Linked DNA regions of Saccharomyces cerevisiae S288C. The gene in region 1 interacts genetically with each later gene. Each region holds a gene or a part of one and is shown in the gene's direction. Other genes may lie near its edges. The genes, in order: SIP2, SIR2, BCY1 and SIP1.

Region 1 (5,341 bases):
CTTTCCTGACGCCTGCATTTTGCAATAGCCGAAGATAAGAATATGATTTTTTTTTTACGATTTAAATATTCTGTTGTTGTGCAGTCTAAAAACACACGTGTATGTTTTTTTCCGCACGCATGAGCAGAATTAGACGGTTTTATAAACGTTCGCTCTGTGTATTTCACGTACCTTCCCGGATACAAATTTCGTCATGGTTTATATTGGAAGTTTTTCCGAAATTGCGGGTTTTGAAGGTTTATCCGAGACGACGTGAGGGGTAGGCAGGAGAAGGAAGGCTGTTTACGTACGCAAGGATGGGGTACGACAATGATTCAATTTCTGTTGCTAAGTTTTTTGTTATTTTTTCATATTGGCCTACTCATCTTTGATATCATTATTTTTTCGAATCTACATTAGAGCGTGTTTCGGAAAACAAACTCGCTCGATACAGTAATTGCGTTTTATTTACGGAAATTACCGTTCTCGGTTCCAAGAAGGTTAGAAAAATCGGTTGTCGCTCTTTCTTTCCCCCACTTGTAAAAACAAAGAAAGTATAAAATAGTTTATGGCCCTTAAGGCAGGCCTTGTTGAATTTGAGCTATACCTACCCCAATGATAGTTCTGTGGTAGTTTGTTTGAATATGTAATATGAGAAGCACGATGGCAAACGATAATCTTCACTGAGCTGATTTACGAGCGACCATCATCTCCACGGTGCGAATTAATAAGCTGTGGCGATGTGCTGTAGTTGCCCTATCGCCCCTGCGGAGCTTGCGTCAACTAGCTCTCCCCTTTCCCCATTGAAGTTAGCGTATTACCATCAGTTAATGATTGATAGGCTCATACGAAGAAGAAAAAAAGCCGGGATAAGAAACCCCGCCTCCACTTTTTTGGCTCATCCGAAAATTTATCCGCGGAGACATCCACGGAGCACCCGCAAAACTGAAGTAATAACTCTAAATTATATGCCGCTGAGAAAAATCTCGTACGAGGATACGGTAAATAATCCGTGCGAGAAAGTTTTTCCGAAAATCATTCCCGGTCAAAAGCGTTTCTGGTATATAAGCGATTGGGAAACCCGTCTATAATACGTAGTAACTTACGATCTGCCTGTCAAATTGTGTGCTTGTCCTTGTACTATTACCATTGTGTAGCTTATCTTAACTCTCAATTAAGTTTTAACTCACGCTAAGACTATTGACCTCGAGAACAAACAAAATAAAAATAAAAAAAGAGAATGCCTAAAAAGCAAACGAATTTCCCAGTAGATAACGAAAACAGACCTTTTAGATGTGATACCTGTCACCGTGGTTTCCATCGGTTAGAACATAAAAAGAGACACTTGAGAACACACACTGGGGAAAAACCTCATCATTGCGCATTTCCTGGTTGTGGGAAAAGTTTCAGTAGAAGCGATGAACTGAAAAGGCACATGAGAACGCATACAGGGCAATCTCAAAGGAGATTGAAGAAAGCTAGCGTACAGAAACAGGAGTTTTTGACAGTAAGCGGAATTCCTACCATTGCATCGGGCGTGATGATACACCAACCAATACCGCAAGTCCTACCAGCAAATATGGCCATAAATGTTCAGGCAGTAAATGGAGGTAACATTATACACGCTCCCAATGCGGTGCACCCAATGGTGATACCAATCATGGCCCAACCAGCCCCCATTCATGCCTCCGCTGCATCTTTCCAGCCTGCAACTTCTCCTATGCCAATTTCTACATACACTCCAGTTCCATCGCAATCATTCACCTCTTTCCAGAGCTCTATTGGCTCCATACAGTCAAATAGTGATGTTTCATCTATCTTCTCGAACATGAATGTTCGCGTAAACACTCCACGCTCTGTGCCAAACTCTCCGAATGATGGATATTTACACCAGCAACATATCCCACAGCAGTATCAGCATCAAACTGCCAGCCCTTCTGTTGCCAAGCAGCAGAAAACTTTTGCACATTCTCTTGCATCTGCATTATCTACCTTACAAAAAAGAACGCCTGTAAGTGCCCCTTCCACCACTATAGAATCACCATCCTCACCAAGTGATTCCAGTCATACCTCTGCATCCAGCAGCGCTATCTCTTTGCCTTTCAGCAATGCTCCTTCTCAGCTCGCCGTGGCCAAAGAACTTGAGTCCGTCTATTTAGATTCCAATAGATACACCACCAAGACTAGGAGGGAAAGAGCAAAATTCGAAATTCCTGAAGAACAAGAAGAAGATACCAATAACAGCAGCAGTGGTAGTAATGAGGAGGAGCACGAGTCGCTAGATCATGAATCTAGCAAAAGCCGAAAGAAATTGTCAGGCGTAAAATTGCCGCCTGTACGTAACCTACTGAAACAAATTGATGTTTTCAACGGTCCCAAAAGAGTTTAACCTTTACGGCCCCTTTTTATCTCACCATTTTTCCTCTAACGAACTGTCATGAAACAACTTAGCATATAACGCGTACTTACATAGATAGATTAAATAGATAACCATGCATATCACTAACTAGCATCGTCATGAATAGCACGTTTACCTATACGAATTGCGGCCGGCATGGTCTTTTATATTGCTCCCTTGGACCGAGTAAAGATTTACCTTGCGTTTTCGGATCGTCAAAATCTTTTAGGGAAAGGATAAATACACCACAAGATTCCTGGGAAATGAAAAGTATCTGAAATAATTGTGCTTTTGGAAGGGTACTGAGAGCAGTGAAGTTTCTATGGGTACTACGACAAGTCATCCAGCCCAAAAAAAGCAAACAACAAAAAAGTGTCGTGCACCTATCATGAGTGACGTTAGAGAAAAACCCAGCAATGCTCAAGGCTGCGAACCGCAAGAAATGGATGCTGTGAGCAAGAAAGTTACTGAACTGAGCTTAAATAAATGTTCAGATTCCCAAGACGCGGGGCAGCCTTCAAGGGAGGGATCTATTACCAAAAAAAAATCGACGTTATTGCTGCGTGATGAGGACGAGCCCACTATGCCAAAGCTATCTGTTATGGAAACTGCTGTGGACACTGACTCTGGGTCTTCGTCTACTAGCGATGATGAAGAGGGAGATATTATTGCCCAGACGACAGAGCCCAAGCAAGATGCCAGTCCTGATGATGATCGCTCAGGCCATTCTTCGCCCAGAGAGGAGGGACAACAGCAAATACGTGCCAAAGAAGCTTCGGGAGGTCCAAGTGAAATCAAGAGCTCATTAATGGTTCCCGTGGAGATAAGGTGGCAGCAAGGTGGTTCAAAAGTTTACGTGACAGGCTCATTCACCAAATGGAGGAAAATGATCGGTTTGATACCTGATTCTGACAATAATGGCTCATTTCATGTGAAGCTAAGGCTGCTTCCAGGCACACATAGATTCAGATTTATAGTGGATAATGAGCTTAGAGTTAGTGATTTCCTGCCCACAGCAACTGATCAGATGGGAAACTTCGTCAATTACATAGAAGTCAGGCAACCAGAAAAAAACCCAACTAACGAAAAGATAAGGTCCAAGGAAGCAGATTCCATGCGACCTCCCACCAGCGATCGATCCTCAATTGCTCTACAAATTGGTAAGGATCCAGACGATTTTGGTGACGGATATACAAGGTTTCATGAAGATCTGTCACCCAGACCTCCGTTGGAATATACAACAGACATTCCCGCCGTGTTTACTGACCCGTCTGTCATGGAACGATACTATTATACCTTGGATCGTCAGCAAAGCAATACTGATACGTCATGGCTGACACCACCCCAATTACCTCCTCAGTTGGAGAATGTTATCTTGAATAAATACTATGCCACGCAAGACCAGTTCAACGAGAACAACTCAGGCGCTCTGCCCATTCCGAACCATGTGGTGCTTAACCACTTGGTTACTAGTAGCATTAAGCACAATACACTTTGTGTAGCCTCCATCGTTCGATATAAACAGAAATATGTCACCCAGATTCTTTATACGCCCATAGAGTCCTCGTAATCCGGGATTCCTACTTTTTAAAGGCGTATTGTATATATTTTTGGCAGCTATGGCACACTAATTTCTATTTCCAATTTAGTGTAAGCAGAGATATAGAAGCATATAACATAATGATTTACTAATGGGCTCAGTACTCTCAATGCTTATTGTTATCACAAACCACGATACTAATACCCGGAAGTCGCGTGATCTTTTTTTTTTTCGGAAAATGAGAATCGCCACTTTTCTAACGAAAGAATATTGAAATCTTAATATTGGTGAGAAGAGGAATAAAAGTAGCTAAGAGAGTCACGGGACTAAAAGGTAAAAAGTTCAGCTATTCCAACTTTACTCCTTTCTGATATTGCACCTTTCGTGAACTGGCTTCGTGTATTTAAGTGAATATGGAAGAGCTGAATATTGATTTTGACGTATTTAAGAAAAGGATTGAATTGTTGTATTCCAAGTACAATGAGTTTGAAGGTTCTCCAAATTCGCTGCTGTTTGTTTTAGGTTCGTCCAACGCTGAAAACCCGTACCAGAAGACGACCATATTGCATAATTGGTTGCTAAGTTACGAATTTCCCGCTACTTTGATTGCATTAGTTCCCGGAAAGGTTATTATAATTACTAGTTCTGCCAAGGCCAAGCATTTACAAAAGGCAATTGATCTATTTAAAGACCCTGAAAGCAAAATTACGCTGGAATTGTGGCAAAGAAACAATAAAGAACCAGAACTCAATAAAAAGTTATTTGATGACGTTATTGCCTTAATCAATAGCGCTGGTAAAACAGTGGGTATCCCTGAAAAGGACTCTTACCAAGGTAAATTTATGACTGAGTGGAACCCAGTATGGGAAGCGGCTGTGAAGGAGAACGAATTCAATGTCATTGATATTTCGCTGGGTCTTTCTAAAGTTTGGGAAGTGAAGGATGTTAACGAACAAGCCTTCCTGTCCGTTTCAAGTAAGGGGTCGGACAAATTTATGGACCTTTTATCCAATGAAATGGTTCGGGCAGTTGACGAGGAGTTGAAAATCACCAATGCCAAGTTATCAGACAAAATTGAAAATAAAATTGATGATGTGAAATTTTTGAAGCAATTGAGTCCCGATTTAAGCGCATTATGCCCACCAAACTACAAATTCAACTTTGATTTATTGGATTGGACCTATTCTCCAATCATTCAGTCCGGGAAAAAGTTTGATCTTAGGGTTTCTGCCCGTTCTACCAATGATCAGTTGTACGGCAACGGTTGTATTTTAGCTTCATGTGGTATTCGTTACAATAATTATTGTTCTAATATTACTAGGACCTTTTTGATCGATCCATCTGAAGAAATGGCCAACAACTACGATTTTCTATTAACTTTGCAAAAAGAAATTGTAACTAACATTCTGAAGCCCGGCCGTACA
Region 2 (5,389 bases), on another chromosome or scaffold:
CAGTGATAACCAAGACAAGTTACAAAATGTATTGAAACATTTGAATGATATCGAGCCATGCGTCTTTGATAAATTTGGTTTATTAGAGAGAAAAGCAACTATTTACATGAAATTGGGTCAATTGAAAGACGCGTCCATTGTTTATAGAACTCTGATCAAGAGAAATCCAGATAATTTTAAGTACTACAAATTACTGGAAGTATCCTTGGGAATCCAAGGTGACAATAAATTGAAGAAGGCTTTGTATGGAAAACTTGAACAATTTTATCCAAGATGCGAACCACCCAAATTTATTCCATTAACTTTCCTTCAAGACAAAGAAGAGCTCAGCAAAAAATTGAGAGAATATGTTTTGCCTCAATTGGAGCGCGGTGTTCCAGCAACTTTTTCCAACGTGAAACCCCTTTACCAAAGAAGGAAGTCCAAGGTTTCACCACTATTGGAGAAAATTGTCCTTGATTATTTGTCCGGATTAGATCCTACGCAGGATCCAATTCCTTTTATTTGGACCAATTATTACTTGTCTCAACATTTCCTTTTCCTTAAGGATTTTCCGAAAGCCCAAGAATATATTGATGCTGCCCTTGACCACACCCCAACTTTAGTTGAGTTTTACATCCTCAAGGCACGTATCCTGAAGCACTTAGGCCTAATGGACACAGCGGCTGGAATTTTGGAGGAAGGTAGGCAACTTGATTTGCAGGATAGATTTATCAACTGTAAAACGGTTAAGTACTTTTTAAGGGCTAACAATATCGACAAGGCGGTGGAAGTCGCGTCCCTTTTCACCAAAAACGATGATTCTGTTAATGGTATTAAGGACTTACACCTTGTGGAAGCTTCTTGGTTCATCGTAGAACAGGCAGAAGCCTATTATAGACTATACCTGGATAGAAAAAAGAAATTAGACGATTTAGCATCGCTAAAAAAAGAGGTTGAAAGTGATAAAAGCGAACAAATTGCGAATGATATCAAAGAAAACCAATGGCTTGTTCGCAAATATAAAGGTTTGGCGCTGAAAAGATTCAACGCTATTCCAAAGTTTTATAAACAATTCGAAGATGACCAGTTGGATTTCCATTCATACTGTATGAGAAAAGGTACGCCAAGAGCCTATCTGGAGATGTTAGAATGGGGAAAGGCACTTTATACCAAACCCATGTATGTTCGCGCAATGAAGGAAGCATCAAAGCTTTACTTTCAAATGCATGATGATCGCTTAAAAAGAAAGTCCGATTCTTTAGATGAAAATTCAGATGAAATCCAAAATAATGGCCAAAATAGTAGCAGCCAAAAGAAAAAAGCTAAGAAGGAAGCAGCCGCTATGAACAAACGGAAAGAAACTGAAGCCAAGAGTGTTGCTGCTTATCCGAGTGATCAAGATAACGATGTATTCGGCGAAAAGTTGATTGAAACCTCCACTCCAATGGAGGACTTCGCTACCGAATTTTATAATAACTACTCCATGCAAGTCAGAGAAGACGAAAGGGATTATATTTTGGACTTTGAATTTAACTACAGAATTGGAAAGTTAGCTTTGTGCTTTGCTTCTCTAAACAAATTCGCTAAGAGATTTGGCACCACGAGCGGTTTATTTGGTAGTATGGCCATTGTTTTGTTACATGCCACAAGAAACGACACCCCCTTTGATCCAATTTTGAAGAAAGTAGTCACGAAGAGCCTTGAAAAAGAGTATTCTGAAAATTTCCCATTAAACGAAATATCTAACAATAGCTTCGATTGGCTGAATTTCTACCAAGAAAAATTCGGTAAGAATGATATAAATGGCCTGCTATTTCTGTATCGCTATCGCGATGATGTTCCGATCGGAAGCTCTAATTTGAAAGAAATGATTATTAGCAGTCTTTCTCCCTTGGAGCCTCACTCCCAGAACGAAATTCTACAGTATTACTTGTAGCCTGCAACTCCTCAATGTGTCAATTAACTCTTACTTAATTTATGTATATATTTTTTATGTATATGCTTATATGCATGCGCATATGCTCATAAAAGATACATTGTTATAGGTCATTTCTTTTCCAAGCTACATCTAGCACTCCTTCCAACCATGGTCCAGGACAGCCAGGACCTTTTCTTGCCAAAATTCTTGCTTTCCCATCTCAGAGAAAAAACGAGGAATTTTTCTTTGTCCTCTTTGGCCGCCAGTTGCGGTAAAATATTTTTTTTCTAGGTCGCATAGTTTGAAAGACTTGTCTTTTTCACCACCCAAGAAAAATATATTTAGTGAAGAGATGTAAAGCCCATTCTCACGTATTTCAAGAAATTAGGCATCGCTTCGGTAGACACATTCAAACCATTTTTCCCTCATCGGCACATTAAAGCTGGATGACCATCCCACATATGAAATACGCCGTATCAAAGACTAGCGAAAATAAGGTTTCAAATACAGTAAGCCCCACACAAGATAAAGACGCGATCAGAAAACAACCCGATGACATTATAAATAATGATGAACCTTCACATAAGAAGATAAAAGTAGCACAGCCGGATTCCTTGAGGGAAACCAACACAACAGATCCACTTGGGCACACTAAAGCTGCGCTCGGAGAAGTGGCATCGATGGAGCTCAAACCAACTAATGACATGGATCCCTTGGCAGTGTCAGCAGCTTCAGTAGTGTCAATGTCCAATGACGTTTTGAAACCAGAGACGCCCAAGGGGCCAATCATAATCAGTAAAAACCCATCAAATGGTATTTTCTATGGTCCCTCCTTCACTAAACGAGAGTCTCTCAATGCTCGAATGTTTCTGAAATACTATGGTGCACACAAATTTTTAGACACTTACCTCCCCGAGGATTTGAACTCGTTATACATTTACTATCTTATCAAGTTGCTAGGCTTTGAAGTTAAAGATCAAGCGCTTATCGGCACCATCAACAGTATTGTCCATATCAACTCGCAAGAGCGTGTTCAAGATTTGGGAAGTGCAATATCTGTCACAAATGTTGAAGACCCATTGGCAAAAAAGCAAACAGTTCGTCTAATCAAAGATTTGCAAAGAGCAATTAACAAAGTTCTATGTACAAGATTAAGATTATCCAATTTTTTCACTATTGATCATTTTATTCAAAAATTACATACCGCTAGAAAAATTTTGGTCCTGACTGGTGCAGGTGTTTCAACTTCATTAGGGATCCCGGACTTCAGATCTTCTGAGGGGTTCTATTCAAAGATCAAACATTTGGGGCTCGATGATCCCCAAGACGTTTTCAATTACAATATATTTATGCACGACCCCTCTGTTTTCTATAATATTGCCAATATGGTTTTACCTCCAGAAAAAATTTATTCTCCATTGCATAGTTTCATTAAGATGCTACAAATGAAAGGGAAATTATTGAGAAATTATACTCAAAACATTGATAATTTGGAATCTTATGCGGGAATAAGCACAGATAAACTGGTGCAGTGCCATGGCTCTTTTGCTACTGCCACCTGCGTTACCTGCCATTGGAACCTACCCGGTGAGAGGATATTTAATAAAATTAGAAACCTCGAACTTCCACTATGCCCGTACTGTTACAAAAAAAGAAGAGAATATTTCCCAGAGGGATATAATAATAAAGTAGGTGTTGCTGCATCACAGGGTTCAATGTCGGAAAGGCCTCCATATATCCTTAACTCATATGGCGTTCTCAAACCAGATATCACATTCTTTGGCGAAGCACTGCCAAATAAATTTCATAAGAGCATTCGCGAAGATATCTTAGAATGTGATTTGTTGATTTGCATTGGGACAAGTTTAAAAGTAGCGCCAGTGTCTGAAATCGTAAACATGGTTCCTTCCCACGTTCCCCAAGTCCTGATTAATCGTGATCCCGTCAAGCACGCAGAATTTGATTTATCTCTTTTGGGGTACTGTGATGACATTGCAGCTATGGTAGCCCAAAAATGTGGCTGGACGATTCCGCATAAGAAATGGAACGATTTGAAGAACAAGAACTTTAAATGCCAAGAGAAGGATAAGGGCGTGTATGTCGTTACATCAGATGAACATCCCAAAACCCTCTAAGTAGAAGGCAATTTAATAATTTAAAAGTGCCAAATTAATATCAATTTACATAGTATGGCAAACAATTTTGTTTTCCTTTCAATTATTGTAGTCAAATATTATTTACATTCTGCTATTTTCATTGTACCGGGTGAAATATTACATGTACCGCCCATCTCACTAAAAAAATGAAAAAAAAAAATCTGCTAAAGACGCAAGGCTCTCACAAATAGCTTAATGTAAGAAGGGCAGGTGGAACAGCAAATTCAAATCATTTAACGCATCCATACATTCAAAATGAACTATTTAGAAGGCGTTGGGTCAAAGAAAGGAGGTGGTGGTATAGCCTCAGAATCTCAGTTTAACTTACAACGAAGGAAAGAAGTCGAATCATTACTTAGTAAAGGCGAAAATGTCCCGTACACTTTCCAAGATGAAAAGGACGATCAAGTAAGGTCCAATCCGTACATTTACAAGAATCATTCCGGTAAACTGGTTTGTAAACTATGTAATACAATGCACATGTCGTGGTCCAGCGTTGAAAGGCATTTGGGTGGTAAAAAACATGGTTTAAATGTGTTAAGGCGTGGTATCAGTATAGAGAAAAGTTCTCTAGGGAGAGAAGGCCAAACAACTCATGATTTCCGACAACAACAAAAGATAATTGAAGCTAAGCAATCTTTAAAGAATAACGGTACGATCCCTGTTTGTAAAATAGCTACCGTGAAAAACCCGAAGAACGGTTCAGTAGGTTTGGCTATCCAGGTAAATTATAGCAGTGAAGTCAAAGAAAATAGTGTCGATAGCGATGATAAGGCTAAAGTCCCTCCTCTCATTAGGATTGTATCTGGTTTAGAGCTATCAGATACCAAACAGAAGGGAAAAAAATTTCTCGTTATTGCGTATGAACCCTTTGAAAATATTGCTATTGAGCTACCTCCAAACGAAATATTATTCAGCGAAAACAATGACATGGACAATAATAACGATGGAGTAGATGAATTAAATAAAAAGTGTACATTTTGGGATGCTATATCAAAACTTTATTACGTTCAATTTTTCTTTAAACAAGCCGAACAAGAACAAGCCGATGTATGACAGTATTATTTTTGGGTAACGTTAATAATCGGCATACAAAACTCTAACCAAATTGGATTATATAATAGCTATTAAGGAAACAATTGTCTTTACAAGAGTTTTTTTTACGAAATTTTCCCATCCAATGTGCACTTATTCTCAGGGAGTATAATAACCATATTCCTCTAAAATTATATTACTGCTCAACTTCCATGCGCTTTTGCGATCTAGAGTATTTATGTTACCATTTATCAACAGTATCTAGTACTCGCAGCATACATACGTATTTATTCAGAAA
Region 3 (3,279 bases), on another chromosome or scaffold:
GAAAATACAATGAAAATTTCGGATGATTATGATCTGAGACAAAAGTCATTATGCATGGTGCTTTATGCCGATAAATTCGCAATGTTTTCGAATCAACGCAAGAAAATTGGCCGTTCAAATTTAGTTTAGTGGAAATAATTGAGCCATTTGGAGAAGTGCTCGCTACTGCCGGTTCCGGTGAACCATTCCCCAGATTATTAGACATTTGGAACAAAAGACCATTGGAAGTGCTTTTGAGTGATGAGTGTCTTTTCAAAGGAGAGCTTTGCAAAGGTTCAAAATCTTGATCTGAACAGCCACTGTTGACGCCTTCACCTTCATCATTATTATCAACATCATTATCCGACAATTCGATCTGCCTCTTACTCTCGCTGTTCATACTCAAAACTGGTAAGAAATCCTTTGTAGAAGCATTGTTTAGATGATCAACGATTTTCGGATCCTTACGAAAAGTGTTATATCTTTTGGGCGGTAGAGAAGCAGAGGACCTTGGAGAGCTGGCACGAGAGCTGTTCAAGGTGTCTAGCGGTTTGAGACTATTAAACTTGCGTTTTCTGGCAGACATATATGTGGGGTTTGATGTGCAATAAACATAGATATACGTGTATTATTGCACCTGGGTATGGGGTATACTGTGTAGTGTCCTTTTATCCCGCTCTTTATTTCTCTCTCTAAGAAGAAACGAATACACTGTAATGTAATTGGTTGTGATGTTTTATCTCTCTCTGATGACGTGATATCTTTTATGTTGTTTCACGATGTTCTCTTATTGTATTGTATAATAGTTTCTCTTAGTAGGAAGATAGAAAAAGGACAAAGAAGGCAAAGAACCAAATGTCATTTCTAACGACACGGCACGTGATTACTGATCTGATAATAAATGAAACAAGCCATACGTGAGAAAGTAAAAAAAAAAAGGAGGAGGGAAAAGAATACGAGTGGAAAATATAAAGGACTTTATATACTTTTCAGATTAGCCGCCGACGATTTTACTTACTCAGCTTTTTTCTATCTTTCAAAACGCTCAAAAGAGGAGCATACGACTTCGGCGGCTAATCTTCACCCAAGAAAAAAAAAGCGCATGCCACCACGACGAGCGGAAAAAAACAAAGCACCCAATCACCACCCTTCCTTCTTTCTTCGTGTTATACCCGCCACTTTTGTTCTGCCTGATAATATATTGATTATACTGTGCTCGGATTCCGACCTCTTCTTTGTTGCAGAAGCCATAAGCTGAACTTATTGCATTTGCTCAAGTGCATTTATTATGGCGCCGCGCCGCCGCTCTCCAAAATTCTTGTCCTTCCTCGTTTTGCTGGCAAGGAGCAAAACGAAGAGGAAGGTAGAAAAGAGAAAATTTGAACAAACAGGGAAAAGGGAAAGAGAAAAAGGGACACTTTACGCTTTCCTCGACTAAGTCAAGCGATCGCTATCATCACATCCATTACACGCATTTCACGCATACATAAATAGGAAGATCATTTACAACAAGCAGATTATTTTCAAAAGACAACAGTAAGAATAAACGATGGTATCTTCTTTGCCCAAGGAATCGCAAGCCGAATTGCAACTGTTCCAGAACGAAATCAACGCCGCTAATCCGTCCGACTTTCTTCAGTTCTCCGCCAACTATTTCAATAAAAGGCTGGAACAACAGAGAGCGTTCCTCAAGGCCAGGGAGCCTGAATTTAAGGCAAAGAACATTGTTCTATTTCCGGAACCAGAGGAGTCATTTTCCAGACCTCAATCAGCTCAATCTCAATCAAGATCCAGATCGAGTGTTATGTTCAAATCCCCCTTTGTGAACGAGGACCCACACTCCAACGTGTTTAAAAGTGGGTTTAATTTAGACCCGCACGAACAGGACACTCACCAGCAAGCACAGGAAGAACAACAGCATACTAGAGAAAAGACATCAACTCCTCCACTCCCAATGCACTTCAACGCCCAAAGGCGTACTTCTGTTAGTGGTGAGACCTTACAACCAAACAATTTTGACGATTGGACTCCAGATCACTATAAGGAAAAGTCCGAGCAGCAATTGCAAAGACTGGAAAAATCGATCCGTAATAACTTTCTGTTCAACAAGCTGGATTCCGACTCAAAAAGGCTGGTCATAAATTGTCTGGAGGAGAAGTCCGTCCCCAAAGGTGCTACGATAATCAAGCAAGGTGACCAAGGGGACTACTTCTATGTCGTCGAAAAGGGTACTGTTGACTTCTACGTCAACGACAACAAGGTCAACTCTTCCGGGCCAGGCTCCAGTTTCGGGGAACTTGCTCTTATGTACAACAGCCCTCGTGCTGCCACCGTTGTAGCAACCTCCGACTGTTTGTTGTGGGCTCTAGACAGGCTCACCTTCAGAAAAATACTTTTGGGCAGCTCTTTCAAGAAGAGACTCATGTATGACGATCTTTTGAAGAGCATGCCAGTTTTGAAGAGTTTGACTACGTACGACCGTGCCAAACTTGCCGATGCACTGGATACCAAGATCTACCAGCCGGGTGAAACAATCATTCGCGAGGGTGATCAAGGGGAGAACTTTTATTTAATTGAGTACGGAGCTGTGGACGTCTCTAAGAAGGGCCAAGGTGTCATAAATAAACTGAAAGACCATGATTATTTCGGTGAAGTGGCCTTGCTAAACGATTTGCCCAGACAGGCCACTGTGACTGCTACAAAGAGAACCAAAGTTGCCACATTGGGGAAAAGTGGTTTTCAACGTTTACTGGGTCCTGCAGTAGACGTATTAAAGCTCAATGATCCTACAAGACATTAAGTAAAAAGGGGAAGCGATCTTAAATCCACATGAATTTCCTTTCTCTTTTTCTTCTTCTTCTGTTCCCTTTTTCTTTCTTCTTCCTTCAACGTCTACGTAAATATAATGTATAACATCTCCACTTTCCTTTCCCTTATAGCGTTATGTTACCTGTTTAAACTCTAAATTCTTCATCTACTACTGCTGTTACTACATGTATATATGTTCATTTTTTTTTTTTTTTTTCACCACGGAAAACGTAAAAATGAGAGCATTTGTAACAAATAAAGGAGAACTGTTCAATCAAGTGACATACAAAAACTCTCTCCAACTCTACAATCACCACCGTAATGTCTGATGCTCAATTCGATGCTGCTTTAGATCTTCTTAGGAGGCTAAATCCTACCACGTTACAGGAGAATCTAAACAACTTGATCGAATTACAACCAAATTTGGCACAAGATTTACTATCTTCAGTAGACGTTCCCCTATCCACACAGAAAGATTCCGCCGATTCAAAC
Region 4 (6,525 bases), on another chromosome or scaffold:
TCGAGGAAGAGTGAGGTTTTCTTCCATGAATTGCAGCTATTGTTAAGGCGTCTGACATAGTATGTAATTGTGCCATGATATACATGTTTTGTGTGTGTACATTTGAATATATATATTTACTAACAAGGAGAAAACTTAGACCGACAAGCTGAAAGAGGATATTTTAACCATCAGTAAAGATGCTCTGGACAAGTACCAGTTGGAAAGAGACATTGCTGGGACGGTAAAGAAGCAATTGGATGTCAAATACGGCAATACCTGGCATGTGATTGTCGGAAAGAACTTTGGGAGCTACGTGACACACGAAAAGGGCCATTTTGTTTATTTCTATATCGGTCCACTGGCGTTTTTAGTTTTCAAAACAGCATAAATAGTGTTTCTTCAATAGTTAATCGATAATCAATTACTATTATACTTTCATACGAATGGGGTGTTACTTTTAAGGACGACATATAAGCAATGGAACGACCAGTTAAGATAAATGGGCAATATCCTTCGGAAAGGTCAGCAAATATATTTAGCAGGTGACATGAAGAAGCAAATGTTGCTAAATAAAGATGGAACACCTAAGAGGAAGGTGGGCAGACCAGGCAGAAAAAGGATTGACTCTGAAGCTAAGAGTAGGAGGACTGCCCAGAATAGGGCAGCTCAACGAGCGTTCCGAGATAGGAAAGAAGCCAAAATGAAGAGTTTGCAAGAGAGGGTAGAGTTACTAGAACAGAAAGATGCGCAGAATAAGACTACCACGGACTTTTTACTATGTTCTTTAAAAAGTTTACTGTCGGAAATTACAAAATATAGAGCTAAGAATTCTGATGATGAAAGAATATTAGCCTTCCTCGATGATCTGCAAGAACAACAGAAAAGGGAAAACGAAAAAGGAACAAGTACAGCAGTTAGCAAGGCTGCAAAGGAATTGCCATCGCCTAATTCAGATGAAAACATGACTGTGAACACAAGTATAGAAGTACAGCCGCACACTCAAGAGAATGAGAAAGTTATGTGGAACATAGGCTCATGGAACGCTCCCAGTTTAACCAATTCGTGGGATTCTCCCCCCGGAAATCGAACAGGTGCCGTTACCATCGGTGACGAAAGTATTAATGGTAGTGAAATGCCAGATTTCAGTCTCGATCTTGTCTCCAATGATAGACAGACTGGTCTAGAAGCTTTAGATTACGACATTCATAACTACTTTCCTCAGCACTCTGAACGCCTGACCGCTGAAAAAATAGATACGTCAGCATGTCAATGTGAAATTGACCAAAAGTATCTTCCATACGAGACAGAAGATGATACTTTATTCCCCAGCGTGCTTCCCCTTGCTGTAGGGAGCCAGTGTAATAATATTTGCAACCGCAAGTGTATCGGGACCAAACCATGTTCAAATAAGGAGATCAAATGCGACTTAATAACAAGCCACCTGTTGAATCAGAAATCTCTAGCTTCGGTGCTTCCGGTGGCTGCTTCTCATACTAAAACAATTCGAACCCAATCTGAAGCAATTGAACACATTAGCAGCGCCATATCGAATGGAAAAGCGTCTTGCTACCACATTCTCGAAGAGATCTCCTCCCTACCAAAATATTCATCGTTGGACATAGATGATTTATGCAGCGAATTAATAATCAAGGCAAAATGTACAGATGACTGCAAAATAGTAGTCAAAGCTCGCGACTTACAGAGTGCTCTGGTTAGACAGCTCCTGTAGCATATAAACATATCTTGAGTATACATAATGTTGGATGAGAGCATGTAATATTGATCGCTTTGTACGATGATTATACCTTTTTTGTCTTTTTACCATTGTCTCTGATGGAATACTATTGACAATTAACAATGGTAGATATATCCGATACAAGTGGATACCTACATAAACAAGGTGTCTTACCTAGTGTTTCTTTCATTTGCACTTCTTTTTTTGCGTGTGGACTGACATCTTGGAAAGTTGAACTGTCATATTATATAGTTGTTGCAGCCGCCATGGGAAACAGTCCTTCTACTCAGGATCCATCGCATTCAACCAAAAAGGAGCATGGACATCATTTTCATGATGCATTCAATAAAGATCGTCAGGGAAGCATAACCTCTCAACTGTTTAACAATAGGAAGAGTACTCATAAGAGACGCGCCAGTCATACTAGCGAACATAATGGTGCCATTCCCCCTAGAATGCAATTACTTGCATCTCACGATCCATCGACAGATTGTGATGGGCGCATGAGCAGTGATACTACTATCGATAAGGGCCCGTCCCATCTATTCAAAAAGGATTATTCTTTGTCCTCTGCCGCAGACGTAAATGACACTACGTTGGCCAATTTGACTTTAAGTGATGATCACGATGTGGGTGCACCCGAAGAGCAGGTGAAATCTCCGTCGTTTTTGAGCCCAGGTCCATCAATGGCCACTGTCAAACGAACTAAAAGTGATCTGGATGATCTGTCTACTTTGAATTACACCATGGTTGACGAAACAACAGAAAATGAAAGAAACGACAAACCACACCATGAAAGGCATCGCTCAAGCATCATAGCTTTGAAAAAAAATCTTTTAGAAAGTTCAGCTACTGCTTCCCCTTCTCCAACGAGGTCTTCATCGGTGCATTCAGCATCACTTCCCGCCTTGACCAAGACGGATTCCATTGATATTCCTGTAAGACAACCCTATTCAAAGAAACCATCTATCCATGCATACCAATATCAATATCTCAATAACGACGAAACATTTTCTGAGAACTCTCAAATGGATAAAGAGGGAAACAGTGATAGTGTAGATGCAGAAGCAGGCGTACTTCAAAGTGAAGATATGGTTTTGAACCAGTCTCTTTTACAAAATGCTTTAAAAAAGGATATGCAACGTCTTTCAAGGGTGAATTCCTCTAATTCAATGTATACTGCAGAAAGGATAAGCCACGCTAATAACAATGGAAATATTGAAAATAACACCCGTAACAAGGGAAACGCGGGAGGCTCCAACGACGATTTTACCGCACCTATATCTGCTACTGCAAAAATGATGATGAAACTGTACGGTGATAAGACCTTGATGGAAAGAGATTTAAATAAGCACCATAATAAGACAAAGAAAGCCCAGAATAAAAAAATAAGGTCGGTTTCAAATTCGAGAAGATCCTCATTTGCTTCTTTGCATTCTTTACAATCAAGAAAGAGTATCTTAACAAACGGTTTGAATTTGCAGCCTTTGCATCCACTACATCCAATTATTAACGACAATGAAAGTCAATACTCTGCACCGCAGCATAGAGAAATATCGCATCACTCTAATTCCATGTCGAGTATGTCTTCAATATCATCAACAAACTCCACCGAAAATACTTTAGTTGTTCTAAAATGGAAAGACGATGGTACCGTGGCTGCAACCACGGAAGTCTTTATAGTAAGCACGGATATTGCTTCTGCTCTTAAAGAGCAAAGAGAGCTTACCTTGGATGAGAATGCAAGTTTAGACTCAGAAAAACAGTTAAATCCTAGGATCCGCATGGTTTATGATGATGTGCATAAGGAATGGTTTGTTCCAGATCTTTTTTTGCCTGCAGGAATTTATAGACTGCAATTCTCCATCAATGGTATATTGACTCACTCAAATTTTCTTCCTACAGCTACGGATTCAGAAGGCAATTTTGTCAACTGGTTTGAAGTATTGCCCGGTTATCATACGATCGAGCCATTTAGAAACGAAGCAGACATCGACTCGCAAGTAGAGCCAACACTGGATGAAGAATTGCCCAAGAGACCGGAACTTAAAAGATTTCCTTCTTCCTCTCGAAAATCTTCCTACTATTCTGCTAAGGGTGTTGAAAGGCCAAGTACACCGTTTTCAGATTATAGAGGCTTAAGTAGGTCCAGTTCAATAAATATGCGTGACTCATTTGTACGTCTGAAGGCTAGCAGTTTGGATTTGATGGCCGAGGTCAAGCCTGAGAGGTTGGTGTATTCGAACGAAATACCAAATTTATTTAATATAGGTGACGGCTCTACGATTTCTGTAAAAGGAGATTCTGATGACGTGCATCCCCAAGAACCTCCCAGCTTTACACATAGAGTTGTTGACTGTAATCAAGATGATTTATTTGCTACTTTACAGCAAGGCGGTAATATTGATGCAGAAACAGCAGAGGCGGTTTTTCTAAGTAGATACCCAGTTCCTGACTTGCCCATATACCTGAATTCATCCTATCTGAACAGAATACTAAACCAAAGCAATCAGAATTCAGAATCACATGAGAGGGATGAAGGTGCGATAAATCATATTATACCCCACGTGAATTTGAACCATTTACTGACAAGCAGTATTAGAGATGAAATAATCAGCGTAGCTTGCACTACTAGATATGAGGGGAAATTTATCACTCAAGTAGTTTATGCACCTTGTTATTATAAAACACAAAAGTCTCAGATCAGTAATTAGAATCTCAATTCGCAATGATTCTCACGAACTCTATTAATTCAATTTTTTTCTTTTTGATTCCTATGGCTCCTAGAACGTTTGCATTCCTTTTTTTTTTGTTCTAGTAGGTATTTCACGTCACGTTTCTGGCAATCCACTTCTCAGCATGCGTGGAATATACTTTAACATATCCAACGAATTTGCTGCATATTCTTATGTAATAGATAGCCGTTCCTAATGTGTAATGGCCTGCTTTGTTATAGAAATCATATATAAGTAGTGATTGAGCCGTAAAATCATCTCATATGCCCAATGGAAAACCAGTCATAGTATTATGAAGCATTCGCATTATTATATACCTCCATCTTCCCCTGTTATTCTGTCTTTGTATTTAAAATCATTTTTACGAATAGTGCGGTTGTCTTGGTTGATGACGTAATTCTTTGATATCTACTTATTTACGCGTTATTGGCCTTGAGTTATTAATATCATTATTGATGTTATTACTATTCACGAACAAGTTGTATAAATTTTCGAAATTATTATTATCACCATCTCCACATTGCATATATCGTTGCTCAATAAGTTCTGTCCATGGTTCTACAAATTCAAGCCCGATATCTTCACTAGCACCGAACCAATCTGTAACCTCGTCAGATAGAGATGGACCTTGGAAGAGTTCATTGTTCAGTAACGCTGTTGTGATATCGTTGTTTTGTTCAACAAAAGGATCAACGATACCTTTAGAAGATGTATCATTTGAATTCTGAGAATTGCTATTAATTTCCTCCGTCAAAGGCCTTTCCGAGGGTTCAAAAGTAGTCTCGGTTTTATTATATCCAATACGTTTAGAGAATATTGGCTTCTTAGTTAAGTCTTGTCCCTCCAGTGAGGATTCGCGATTGCTCTCTAGAGGAGTGGTGCCATCTCTTAATAAGGGTGGTCGTTCTAAGTAAGATTTTTTTCGAAGTTTCATCTCTGTACATAAGTACATTAATATGGCTGCGTATCTTTGACATAGATGTAATTCATCTGGTGTAGCTTCTTTCAAAGTAACCGCAGTGTCACGGATGATATCGAATGTTTCGTCAACCGATATTGCACTTAATTTTAAAATGTTTCTGGCATCTGGATTTGTTGCCAGTTCACTACCAGTAAGTGTTAGGTAGCATTTTACTATGAACGCAATGGATCTAATTATTCGTATTACCCATCTTACGGGCATGTATTTTAGCATTCCTTGCCTTGAAACTCGCTTTGCAGAACTCAATATTTCTTTTGCAGATCTGTATGCTAATTCCACATACCTCGCGCTTGTCACAATTTCATTCATATTCAATCTGCTTGTTTTCCCATCCACTTGCAGTGCGAGGGAAAAGATATAAAGTTGACAATAATTGAAATCTGTGATAATACTTTCACCATTTATTCTATCGATGTTATCAAATATTTGTTTTTTGTTCTTCCTATCTGCTAGTGAGAAAGGGACATCAGAAAGGGGTACAAGAAGCTCTCTGTAGTTACTGAGCCAGCCCTCTATCAAGGGAGAAAAAACACTTAGGACAGAGAGGTTGTGTCTCTGATCTGTCGTTGCCAATTTCCTCTTATTCTTCTCACAGTAAATCGTCTCATATGCTATGGATAGGATTCGAATGATCTCTATTTTTGCTCTTTGGGCGAATGAGAATCTTAGTGGAAATGGTGGTATGTGATTCTGTGCTAGATTAGTATCATCTTTTTTATTAGAATAATATAGAACATACTCATCGTTTAAAAACTCCCTCTCCCAATCAGTCAAAAAATTTTTCTCGTTGTCGTGGTCATTTTCTGAGTTTTCAAAAACTCTCTTCCACCTTAGTTTACTTTCTTCATCAGGCAAAATCTCATTCAGATAAAATTTTTCATTCCCAAGGTAATCCTCATTGCTTTCATTTCCATCGTTTTCAATTTTTCCTAAATTCAAGTTTAAAACGCTGAATGATTCTGCTAATAAGGATCTTTGATTCATATTCATAGCACTGGTAGTCTCAGATATATGAGTGACAATGAATACTTTTGAGCTGTTTTCAATGAATCCCATATCTTGCGCCAGCCTTACTGCAGACCCTGTCAGCA

The links.
Region 2: of SIP2 (region 1) and SIR2, changing one suppresses a phenotype caused by changing the other (phenotypic suppression), as found in Saccharomyces cerevisiae (2 studies listed by BioGRID).
Region 3: mutations in SIP2 (region 1) and BCY1 together harm fitness more than expected from each alone (negative genetic interaction), as found in Saccharomyces cerevisiae (2 studies listed by BioGRID).
Region 4: mutations in SIP2 (region 1) and SIP1 impair growth when combined (synthetic growth defect), as found in Saccharomyces cerevisiae (8 studies listed by BioGRID, with this or other methods).

Annotation. Positions count from the first base shown.
Region 1 is NC_001139.9:94,639-99,979, forward strand, and holds SIP2 (Sip2p), read left to right. Parts: upstream 1-2,699; coding exon 2,700-3,947; downstream 3,948-5,341. Other genes in the region: MIG2 (Mig2p), read left to right, coding at 1,220-2,368; chromatin-remodeling protein SPT16, read left to right, coding at 4,331-5,341. UniProt on the Saccharomyces cerevisiae protein: Beta subunit of the SNF1 kinase complex, which is required for transcriptional, metabolic, and developmental adaptations in response to glucose limitation.
Region 2 is NC_001136.10:375,403-380,791, reverse strand, and holds SIR2 (NAD-dependent histone deacetylase SIR2), read left to right. Parts: upstream 1-2,346; coding exon 2,347-4,035; downstream 4,036-5,389. Other genes in the region: peptide alpha-N-acetyltransferase complex A subunit NAT1, read left to right, coding at 1-1,918; spliceosome assembly protein PRP11, read left to right, coding at 4,312-5,112. UniProt on the Saccharomyces cerevisiae protein: NAD-dependent deacetylase, which participates in a wide range of cellular events including chromosome silencing, chromosome segregation, DNA recombination and the determination of life span.
Region 3 is NC_001141.2:289,919-293,197, reverse strand, and holds BCY1 (cAMP-dependent protein kinase regulatory subunit BCY1), read left to right. Parts: upstream 1-1,528; coding exon 1,529-2,779; downstream 2,780-3,279. Other genes in the region: SUMO protease ULP2, read right to left, coding at 1-565; CAP2 (F-actin-capping protein subunit beta), read left to right, coding at 3,109-3,279. UniProt on the Saccharomyces cerevisiae protein: Regulatory subunit of the cyclic AMP-dependent protein kinase (PKA), an effector of the Ras/cAMP pathway. Inhibits PKA activity in the absence of cAMP. cAMP activates PKA and promotes growth and proliferation in response to good nutrient conditions.
Region 4 is NC_001136.10:1,313,232-1,319,756, reverse strand, and holds SIP1 (Sip1p), read left to right. Parts: upstream 1-1,983; coding exon 1,984-4,431; downstream 4,432-6,525. Other genes in the region: DYN2 (dynein light chain), read left to right, coding at 37-59, 140-370; CAD1 (Cad1p), read left to right, coding at 482-1,711; ARO80 (Aro80p), read right to left, coding at 4,865-6,525. UniProt on the Saccharomyces cerevisiae protein: Beta subunit of the SNF1 kinase complex, which is required for transcriptional, metabolic, and developmental adaptations in response to glucose limitation.